2 linked regions of the Drosophila melanogaster genome follow. The protein of the gene in region 1 purifies or fractionates together with the protein of each later gene. This does not show direct contact. Each region holds a gene or a part of one and is shown in the gene's direction. Other genes may lie near its edges.

What was found.
Region 2: the proteins of eRF3 (region 1) and Lipt2 purify together in Drosophila melanogaster (affinity purification with mass spectrometry, with the first as the bait; one large-scale study listed by BioGRID). This does not show direct contact.

What each region holds. Positions count from the first base shown.
Region 1 is NT_033779.5:12,432,802-12,440,456, forward strand, and holds the start of eRF3 (eukaryotic translation release factor 3), read left to right. Parts: upstream 1-1,650; 5' UTR 1,651-2,195; coding exon 2,196-2,622; intron 2,623-3,888; exon of another isoform or gene 3,889-4,122; coding exon of another isoform or gene 4,123-4,177; intron 4,178-5,011; coding exon 5,012-5,197; intron 5,198-5,270; coding exon 5,271-6,040; intron 6,041-6,100; coding exon 6,101-6,187; intron 6,188-6,252; coding exon 6,253-6,429; intron 6,430-6,494; coding exon 6,495-6,663; intron 6,664-6,719; coding exon 6,720-6,763; 3' UTR 6,764-7,655. Other genes in the region: SR family splicing factor SC35, read right to left, coding at 778-908, 1,034-1,111.
Region 2 is NT_033777.3:4,435,680-4,438,913, reverse strand, and holds Lipt2 (Lipoyl(octanoyl) transferase 2), read left to right. Parts: upstream 1-1,584; 5' UTR 1,585-1,806; coding exon 1,807-2,511; 3' UTR 2,512-2,692; downstream 2,693-3,234. Other genes in the region: CG14650 (uncharacterized protein), read right to left, coding at 1-1,286; CG1074 (uncharacterized protein), read right to left, coding at 2,863-3,234. UniProt on the Drosophila melanogaster protein: Catalyzes the transfer of endogenously produced octanoic acid from octanoyl-acyl-carrier-protein onto the lipoyl domains of lipoate-dependent enzymes. Lipoyl-ACP can also act as a substrate although octanoyl-ACP is likely to be the physiological substrate.

The sequences.
Region 1 (7,655 bases):
ATTGTAGGGCTTACGGTAAGTTGGCTAGCAGGGGTTTGGTAGGCAACTGTTGCAAGTGTACACATTCAATCTAGCATCCTTTTGCTAAAGAAGATGTACAGACTGAAAGCTGTTACACATTCAAAAGGGGCAAATAATGCAGGTAGATACAACAAATAAATAGAATAAGTGACCTTGTATCAACTTAATGTATCATTGAAGCCATATGTTATGAAACTATAACTTTAGAACTTATTATTTAGATGTAGTATTCTCTGTACGTTGGCTAGTAAATGTTGAGTAGGCAACGGTTGCAAGTGAACACATTTGTTCTGGCACCATTTTGCTACTGAAAGTGTACAGATTAGCAACTGATACACAATCGATGATAGCAAATAATGCAAATAGTTCTAATGAAATGAGAGGAATATTTGAGTTTAGACAAGGGGCGTACTTATTATAGCAGCTATATTCAAATGATATTTAAATGATTACTCTGAGACTTTTGTAATTTGCTTGCATACCCTGATTAATTCAGGGAATACATAACATTTTTCCTCAATGTGCTAGTTTTCAATGAAACATTATAAAGTAGATAGTGAAAGCGGATATGACGAGTGATTGTATAGCATGATTTTCGCAGTATACTTTCGGGAAATACATATATTTTACTCCTAGTATGTATGGATACATTTTAGGTCCCATGATAATTAAAATCCACCGCCGGCAAGTGAAAGTAACAAAACAAAAAAGACCTAAGACTTTCACAATTTTCCCGGAAGAGAAGTGAATGCTTACCGAACAAATGCGAATCCGCGGCTCTCACGTGTGTAGCGATCCCTGGGTATGTAGATGTCCCCCACCTCGCCGCACCGCTCGAAGACCCGACGCAGATCCTCCGGCGTGGTGCGATATGTGAGATTGTCGACCTGTAGGCATAATTACACGCGGATTAATTTACATGCTTTTGGAGAGGTTACCTAACCACACAACGTTGCCAGCCGGCCGCCATTTTGTGGGCGATTTAGTCGCATTTTACTTAGCAGATACTTGCCTTAAGCGAGACCATTCCATCGATCCGTGGAGGTGGACGCGCTGCGCCCAATCCCCCGGCACCACCACCGTTGCTCATTGTCTATTTGGATATTTGTTTTACCGCTAAAATGCTAATGCGAATGCTGAAAACGAGCCAAACTCCAGACGATTTTTTCACTACTGTTAAAATGGCGTCTGGCACGACGTTAGAGCTGGAACAACATCGATTGTAATTCGATACCATTGATGATGAGCTTAGAAATGTATTGAAACCCCAAGGCTCACTACACACTTATCAATATTTACAAAACTCGCATTACACTTCTATTATACAAAATAACTAAATTAATAATTATAAAAACTCACTGAAAGTGAATAAAAAATTATTAATGTCTAGTCACACATAAAACAAATACAGTTTGTATTTATATATGTACATGTGGACTACGTTATATTTAGCCTTAAAAAATTATATTAATCAGAACAAAGTACAAAAGCAATATAATTATTTATGTTGAATAATTTTAAAAGTATTAAAAATCTTACTAAAAAAATTTAAAAATATCTTAATACTTTGCCCCAAATCAATTATAGGCCACTGTGACAGCCAGCACATATCGATGCACCGATAACACCGCATACAAGTGGCAACCCTGACTTGATGCGTGGCTTAAAACGTGTAAAATAATAGAAGATTGCTAGTTCCGAGCACTGCATTTAGTGTTCAGGTAGTCGAATCATACCTGCAGATCACCAGGTGGTCACCACTGCCCCAAACAGGCGATAGTCGATCAAATTAAAGGGAATTCGAGTTCAACCCGAGTTGGCCAGGCTAGCAAAGCACAAACAACAAACACAACACCGAGTCACAACAAAAGTGTAGACCACATTGAGCCGAAAGTCTGGCCTAAACCCCCCACAAGCCACCCCCCCGGCCAACAACCATCAAGGCGTGCGTGTGTTGGTGGCATTGCTTTTGCCATTCCCAATTTCCATTACCATAGGCAATCCCAAGAATTCCGAACGACCGCGTGTGTTCTGTGTGAGTGCGGGAGCAGCAAGAAGAAGCAGCTGAAGCAGTTTGTAGAAGGAGGGCGAAAGTGTGTCGTCGCGTGAAAAAAGCGAGAGAGAGATTTTCATCGGAGGAAACCACTGCGGAGGATTACGGACGCACTGCAACGATGGCCGCCCAGGAAAACACGGAGATCAGCACAAAGTTCTCAACGCTGAACGTGAACGCGGTAGAATTTGTGCCCAGTTTCAGTTACAACAGCGTTGTGAATGTAGCTGAGGAGGCGGCGGCAGTAGTGGTTGCAGCGGCTGCGGCCGAGGAGACGGCGGATCCGGGTCCCGCCTCCGGTTCAGCCACGCCAGCCACCACACCCGATTCCGTCGGCAGCGGGGGATCCACAGCGGGAGCAGCTCCACCGCCTCCAACTGCACAGGGGGCGGGGGCAGCAGCACCCTCAGCACAGCCGCCCACATCATCCTCCAATTCCGCATCGCCAGCGCCGGGTTCGCCAGCCACCACGCCTTCAGCAGGAGCAGCGGCGGCGGATCCAACGCCCATCGATGGTCTCAACCCCTCGGACAAAATCGCAAACAATGGTAAATAGAGCTTGCTAGCTACCTAAATACCCCCTGCCAAATACACATGCCCCACGTCCATTGAACTCGCTTCTTCTGTGACGTCAACAAAGAAGCGTGTTATTGTTGCTACCTGCTGGTCGCAAGACCGTTGGCAGAGACACAACAATGGGGAATGGGATAGGGAAAACCCCAAAGATAGGTTGCATTCACCAGGTTCCGTTTAGGTTATTATCGCTGGCCCTAGTACATAACCTCAATCTGCGTCAGCACTGCCGACGTCGGCGTCGCATGTGTTGCTTGACTTCTATTCGAATTGCGGGCATTATTGTGCCGCTAAACAAATGGCTAATCGCTTTCGGCCTGCGCGCAAAAACAGTTCGTCCGGCCAGGGCCCTTTCTTTGGCCGCTTTTCTCGTCGTCGTGTCGCCAGCAGTGGCTCAGCGCAGAGATGCCCAGGAATCACGACCAGAATCACTACAGAGGTGTCACCAAATGGTGAAATAACCGCAAATCAGGTCTAGTTGTTTTCTAGAAACCAGCTAATGGTTGGGAATTAATCATGCACTTTGACATTTTTGCTTTAAACAAATGTAGGTACATACATTTAAAAATACTTGTTGAATCTATATGTACATGAACATCAAACAATCCACGCCTCGCTGTGATCTTGGGATTTGGGATTTGTGAAAACTTTCGTCCGAATAGTATTCTTATATTCTTAATCGTCGTTCAGTATTTTGAGTTTCAAGAATTGGGATATTTAAGAGTTAAGCCATGAAAATTTTACACGAATATGCTAATATAAATATTCTAGCCTTGTGTATTTTTCAATTCTATAAACTTGTTCATAATTTTAATATTCTGAAAATTTCATAGTTAGAAAACACTTTCTTGTTTAGCTTTGTTGATTTCTCGATGTAACGACTTATCACTGTCACTTGTTAAACTGTTAACAATCACGGCGCATCTCTGGTGGCCACTCACCTACTTGCCATTCGCCGGGCGACGTTGACAAGCAGCTGTTTGTGCTGCCATTTTACTGCCGCTTCGCTTTGTGGTGTCGTTTATTTGGCCATTGCCTTGTCCCCTTCTTCCGCACCCACACTCGCAAATGCTTGCCCCCCAATTCTTGTGTTTTGGACACGTTTACTCTTTTGTCAGCCATTCATTGGAGCCTACGCTGCGCCCAGCTTCGACTGGCGGTGTGGACTGGAATGGAATGGGCATGGGAATGGGAATGGCTCACTCGTCGTTATCGCAGCGACTCCAATGTGGCGACTTTTGTAGTTGCTTGGCCCGAATGGAAGCGCTTAGTGCAGCTCGCCGGCGGTTGAAACCGCTTCGAACTTGATTACATGGCGTTTGGCTGTGCGGCGCGCTTGCCAAAGCGCCGAAAAAAAATAGCATTTGCTGTTGGCTCTTACACTTTGGCGCGATCGAAGCTCGTTTCTCCGGCTATATCTACATCCGCTCCTAGTTCCGAAATCCGATTAGAATTGAGTTGTATGCATCGGAATCATGAGTAAGGGCGCCGGATCTCGCTACATTTACTCGTTTTCGCAGTGGAGAAAAAGTTAGTAATCGTGGAGTTGGGATACCATTCGTTACAGCCCATCTCCAGACGGTCAAATGATCCTCCGACATTTACGTCAAAGGTTCGGGAACTACTATTAACCAAGCACGTTGACACCAGCACAGAACAGCACTCCACCAATCCAATCCCGCACATGACTCATCCGCCCGGGTGGCTAGAGTCAGCGATTAGCAATTAGCATGTGGCCGCCAGGTCAAACACGGCGAGTGCATGAGTGGTAGTACGAAGTATATAATTGGTGAAGTGATAGCTCAACTTCCCTGAGTTTAAATCATCTGAAGTGCTATAAGTTTCTAACAAACCGACCTAAATTAAAAAGAAACTATTTACACAGTTGTTTCATGTGCAAAAATAAAAGGCATGACATTTGCATTTTTATTTTTGTGCATAAAAAGAGACATGTTTGCATTTACTAAATGTCGCTCAAAATACAAAGGTTTCGATATTGTGAAATAGAGAAAGTTAAAGTGAATTTTACTCCCATCACTAAAGTTTCTTTAAACTATTACGATGATGTGGACAATTCCAAAAATAAAAAAAATTCATTGCTTTATTCGGTTTTTAACTGGATTGATCTGGACAAACCGACACTATTTTGAACAATTTTTAAAATTACTAGTTTTCCCAAGATTGTCTAATGTAAATAAATTATATATTTGCGCGATAACAATTTTAGTAATCGATAGAAAATAAACAACAAACAATTATATATTCCTCAACAAGCCATATTATTTTCACCACCAAGCACAGTAGAATCGCCTTGTAAATGTCTCGACTAATGACCTTTTATTTGGTTTTTTTTTATTTGCTTAGAAACCGATCCTGCTGACAGCTGGGATGTGGACGATGCAGTGATCACGCCCGAGGATGAGGAGGTGGAAGATGCTGAGTTCACGGAGGGCGAGGCCACGCCGAAGGTGTCCAAGAAGAAGGTGGTTAAGGTGGAGGAAAATAGGAGCAAGCGTGAGCACGTGAATGTTGTGTTCATTGGCCATGTTGGTGAGTTATCATTACTTATAAACATATGTCCCACCAAAAGCCATTATTAACATTCGCACTTTGCTTTGGGTAGATGCTGGCAAATCAACAATTGGCGGACAGATCATGTCGCTCACGGGCATGGTGGACAAGCGAACACTGGAGAAGTACGAGCGGGAGGCACGTGAGAAGTCGCGTGAGAGTTGGTACTTGTCCTGGGCGCTGGACACCAACCAGGAGGAACGCGACAAGGGCAAGACCGTCGAGGTGGGACGAGCCTTCTTCGAAACGGACCGAAAGCATTTCACTATCCTCGACGCACCCGGTCACAAGAGCTTCGTGCCTAACATGATCGGTGGCGCGGCGCAGGCCGATCTCGCAGTGCTGGTCATCTCGGCGCGAAAGGGTGAATTCGAGACGGGCTTCGATCGCGGCGGCCAGACCCGAGAACATGCCATGTTGGCCAAGACCGCCGGCGTTAAGCATCTGGTCGTGCTGGTCAACAAAATGGATGACCCAACGGTCAATTGGGATCAGACGCGCTACAACGAATGCAAAGACAAGATACTACCATACCTCAAGAAGCTGGGCTTCAACCCGGCCAAGGACCTTACCTTTATGCCTTGCTCGGGCCTCAGCGGATACGGGCTGAAAGACCAAATCCCGGAGACGCTCTGCCCCTGGTACCGGGGACCCGCCTTCATTCCGTTCATTGACGAGCTGCCCTCGCTCAACCGCAAGTCGGACGGGCCTTTCATCATGCCAATTGTGGACAAGTACAAGGATATGGGCACCGTGGTGATGGGCAAGGTTGAGTCCGGAACAGCGCGCAAGGGTCAAAACCTGTTAGTGATGCCAAATAGGGTAAGTTTATACACTTTGCAATCAGCTGAATATTTGAAACTAAGCTTGTTTTTCACATAGACGCAAGTGGCGGTGGATCAGTTGTTCTCGGACGACTTTGAAGTCACTTCTGTTGGTCCCGGCGAGAACGTCAAGATTAAGCTGAAAGTGAGTACATGATTCTTTTGTTATACCCTTGGATTATTTTAATTGATTCTTAAACTTTTTTTTAGGGTATTGAGGAGGAGGATGTCTCGCCCGGTTTTGTTCTCTGCGATGCAGCCAATCCCATCAAGACGGGAAAAATCTTTGATGCTCAGGTCGTAATTTTAGAACACAAATCAATTATCTGTGCGGGTTACTCGGCTGTCATGCACATACACTGTGCAGCCGAAGAAGTCACAGTTAAGGTAAGTTTTAGGTCTATAATTCCCATACATTAGCCAGATACTGAATATGTATTATTTTTCAATAGGCCCTCATCTGTTTGGTCGACAAAAAGTCTGGTGACAAATCAAAAACACGTCCACGGTTCGTTAAGCAGGATCAGGTTGCAATTATGCGAATCGAGTGCTCCGGAATGATTTGCCTTGAACAATTTAAGCTATTCCCTCAAATGGGCCGTTTTACGCTCAGAGATGAAAGTAAGTCGATTGGTGACTCGGGAGATCCCCGTCTAATTATCATTTCTATCTTTCAGACAAAACCATTGCCATTGGCAAGGTGCTGAAGGTGGTCGAATAAATTGAGCCTAGCTAAATTCGAGCGCCCGCCTTTCATTGCGATTTTTGAGATAGCATTGCAAGCCCGACGAGAGAACACAGCCACAGCCACAACAACAGCAACGCCACGCCACGCTTTCTTCACATTTGACAAATCAACAAAAACAGTACTCAGCATCGCTCGAGCTCTCACTCACATTACTTTCAACCAGCAATAGCAATCGATTATAGAATCCAGATCGATTCAAAACGGAACGGAACGGCAATGTAGGCAGGCGAAAAGTTAATTTACAACAAGGACGAGTTCGGAGATAGAAACAGAAATGCATTATATACGAATTATAAACTATATTATGTAAAACTAAGCAGCAAAATCGGAGGCAGCGAATGCGAAACAAGATGAACTATTTATATATGTATACAAAACAAACAACTCACACGTATATATGCAAAGAGAGAGAAAGAGTTGAAGAAGAGGAGTTGCATTGATAACGATTTTGTTTGTTGAGCCCATCTCGCAAGGATATTGAGCACTTGTCGCAGTCGTCGTTTTCTTTTGGTTTACTATTTTGTATAAACTGTAAGCATTAAATAGCCTACACGTACATGCCTAAATCGCGCGCAATACGTGAATTTCTTTAAAATACTAAAACTAAAGCTGCAAGCTACCCAATTTTTGTATTTGTAAGCGAAAGTACGATCCCGAGAATCCTTTCCCCATCCATCTTCCTGTATGCGCCTTTAAATTGCAAATTTGTTAAATACCCTGCAAAATGCATTAAGATATTTCTGCTCTTCTTTTTAAATGATATAATCTATATGCTTTAATTTAAGTTTAAGCTTAAAGAACATGGAGTAAAGTCTGTAAAAGCAGAACGGAGAAAATTCAAATTTACGGAAACACCTAATTGTTA
Region 2 (3,234 bases), on another chromosome or scaffold:
ATCTGCGGCTGTAGATTTGGCTGTGCTAGAGACTGAGACTGTTGAACCTTGAGCGGCGCGGTCTGGCTGACTTTACTTCGCTTCTTGCCTCGGCTGGCATGCGCATGACCAACACCGGGCACAAACGAACCCGTCTCCTTGGCATCGTGCAGCGGTGAACGTTTTGACGTCCGCATCTCGCGATTTCCATATGCATCCTCCTTTTCCGGACGCCTCTGCGATTGTACACTGTAGTCCCCACCGTTGTCTGCGCGCATATCTCGCCCTGCAGCACTCGGTTTTGTGCCTTTGCTGAGCACATCGGAGTACGACATGGGCATGGGCTTCACCTCGGCCACGATTCGCTTTTTGCCTTCGGGTTGGCCAGGCACGGCGACGCTCGACTTGTTGATGGCAGTTGGTGAAACGGTGGCAGTGGCCAAAGGCATTTTCAGAGACTTGGCTGGCTTGGAAGCCGCTGGCAGTGTATTGACGGATTGCGACAGTGGCTCAGGCTGCTGCAGGTTCTGATTAGGAACCTGTGGCTGTTGGGCTATCGAAGTCTCGAGAACGACGTCCATCTCGTTGGCCTCGCCATCAAATTGAATGTAGCTTCCACCAGTCAAATTGGGCGACCAGTTGTTTACAAGGTTGTTAATGAGAAGGTTAGCACTGCTCGACGAGTGATTGACTTGGGACACTGTTGGGGCCTGAGTCTGCGTCTGTTGGGGCTGTCGATGCTGGGCGTCTTGCTGCTGTGCATGTGGTAAAGTCAAAGGATTTGTGGCAAACAGTTCATACAGTGGAGTCGGCTGCGAAGGTGTCGGCGGAGCGGCCTGGTGTTGGTGCTGCAGCTGATGGTGATTAATCGAGGCCATGTTGATATGCGTGAAGAGTGGGGTGCCGGCTTCGCTGACCTGGTTGTCCGGGCAGTGGTACACTTTGAGAAAGTTGCCGGGTCCCACAGGCAGCACGGAGTAGGTCTCTGGCTGGCCTGGCTGACCGGAGTAGGACAGATTGAAGAGATACTCATTGTACATGTGGGGCTGCTGCTGCTGAAGATGGGGCGCAAATGGGGGGCCGGCTAGGTGCGGTGGTGGAGGTGGCCACATCAGCGGGACAGGTGCTTGTCCATGCTGCTGCTGGTGGATCAGATAGTTTTGGGTTTGATGTTGATGCTGCTGCTGTTGCTGTTGCTGCTGTTGGTGGGCCAGGTAGTTGCCCACTTCGTCAGTGTGGGGCAGGACGCGAAAGGGTGCAGACTCAGTGCTGCCCCCTCCAATCTCGTCGTCCTGACGAGTCGCCATGTCCTGCGATGGGGCCTATGCTTTTTGCGCACCAGCTCCGCTCGCCTATTGGAATTTCAAGCGTGCTCCATGTATTCACCGCAGCGAGTCTGTCACGGATGTGCTGCAATCGCAGGTGACAGGTAGTTGGTTTTCTGTGGCCCTAGCCCACTTTTTCACTCCAAACTCTAAATAATTCGCAGAGCGTCCGTGTGTAAGAGTTTTATATCTTTTTATTGCAAACGTCAAATGTAGTGTTGCCAGATGGGTGGAATTCCATTTTCCTAACTGCCCTCGACCAACCCTGGTAGTAACCTATCGAAAGATTTCCCTCCAACGTATTTTCCGAATTGTTGTTAAACTGTTGGATTATTAATCGAAGTTTCCTCAAATAAAAAAACAAATTTCGCCAACTTTTCCATTGCCACCAATCAGCCGTTTTTGAAGATACATATATTGATGAACCCGCTGATCGTGCAGCCCTGGTTAATATTTGTTGTTTTAAACGTTGCAGTCAAATGATTTTTAAACAATTAAAAAAATGCCTTTTGTCCGACCGCTGGTGACCGTGGTGCGGGCCGGGCGGCATAGCTATTCAGCAGGATTACAGCTACAGCAACGTCTTGCAAGGTCCAACCAGATCCTGAATCCGCCAGCGGAGTTCCGAAACTACCTGGTGCTTCAGGAGCACGACCCGGTCTACACAGTCGGACTAAGGACAAAGGACTATACGGCGCAGGATGAAGACCGACTCCGCCGGCTAGGAGCAGACTTCCATCGCACAGATCGCGGTGGCTTGATCACATTTCACGGCCCCGGCCAGTTGGTGGCCTATCCCATTCTGCACCTGGGTCAGTTCGTGCCGAGCATCCGCTGGTACGTGGCGACGTTGGAGCGGATGGTTGTCGAGGCCTGCCACCAGATGGGCATTTCCAGTGCCAAGGCGACCAAGGACACCGGTATCTGGGTGGGTGACAACAAGATCTGTGCCATCGGTATCCACGGCTCGCGTTACGTCACCACGCATGGAATCGGCCTCAATTGCTGCACGGATCTGCAGTGGTTTGAGCACATTGTGCCCTGCGGAATCGAAGGCAAGGGGGTCACCTCGCTCAGCAAAGAGCTGGACAGACATTTTCCTGTCGAGGAGGCCAGTGGCGCACTCCTCAATAGTTTCGCTAAAGTTTTCGAATGCCGCCTTCAGGAACACGCCAAAAAACCAGCAAGTTCTGCTGAAATCGGATAATATGGTTATTTGGATACATATGATGTATAAAGGACCGCCAAGTTTATTTCAACATTTATAATTTAAATTATGCATCAATACATATTTCCTGGCCTTCTGTTATCTCAACTTTTACGAAATGGAAATTTGTAAACTAGATTTATGTATTTCATAAAATATTAAAATAACATTATAACTATATACATATATAGACTCATTGTCAATCGTATTTATCTATTTTTTTTTTTGTCCAAATCTGAATCAAAATCTTCGAAATGTATGCCATACAAGAAAACTCAGCGACACACAGCCAACAAAAAATTTGGCCCGAATCGAAGTTATATCTTACTATAAATTACACTTCAATGGAGATCACATAAATCGAGCTTTATTCAGGTCACACTTTTTGGAGCGCCCATCCGTAGGAATCTTTCCCCGTGCATTCATCTCCACACGAGCCTGTTCCCGCAGCTCTGCCTTCCGCATTCGACGCTCTTTGCGTGACTCCAGAGCATTATTAAAGTACCGATCCCTGAAGTCCTGCGAGGGCGTTGGCACCTGTTTTATGCTGCACAATAAGGGTTCTGTTGGACTATACTCGAAACACTTTTCATAGGTGAGTAGCCGCCTAGCTGTATTCCCAGTCAATTGCTGCTCAGAGTTAGCTATCAGGCTCAGATGCTGATGCTGTGGCAGCATCTTCGGGTCGTAGTCCTCGCTGTGAAAGGGTATCCAGCAGACAAG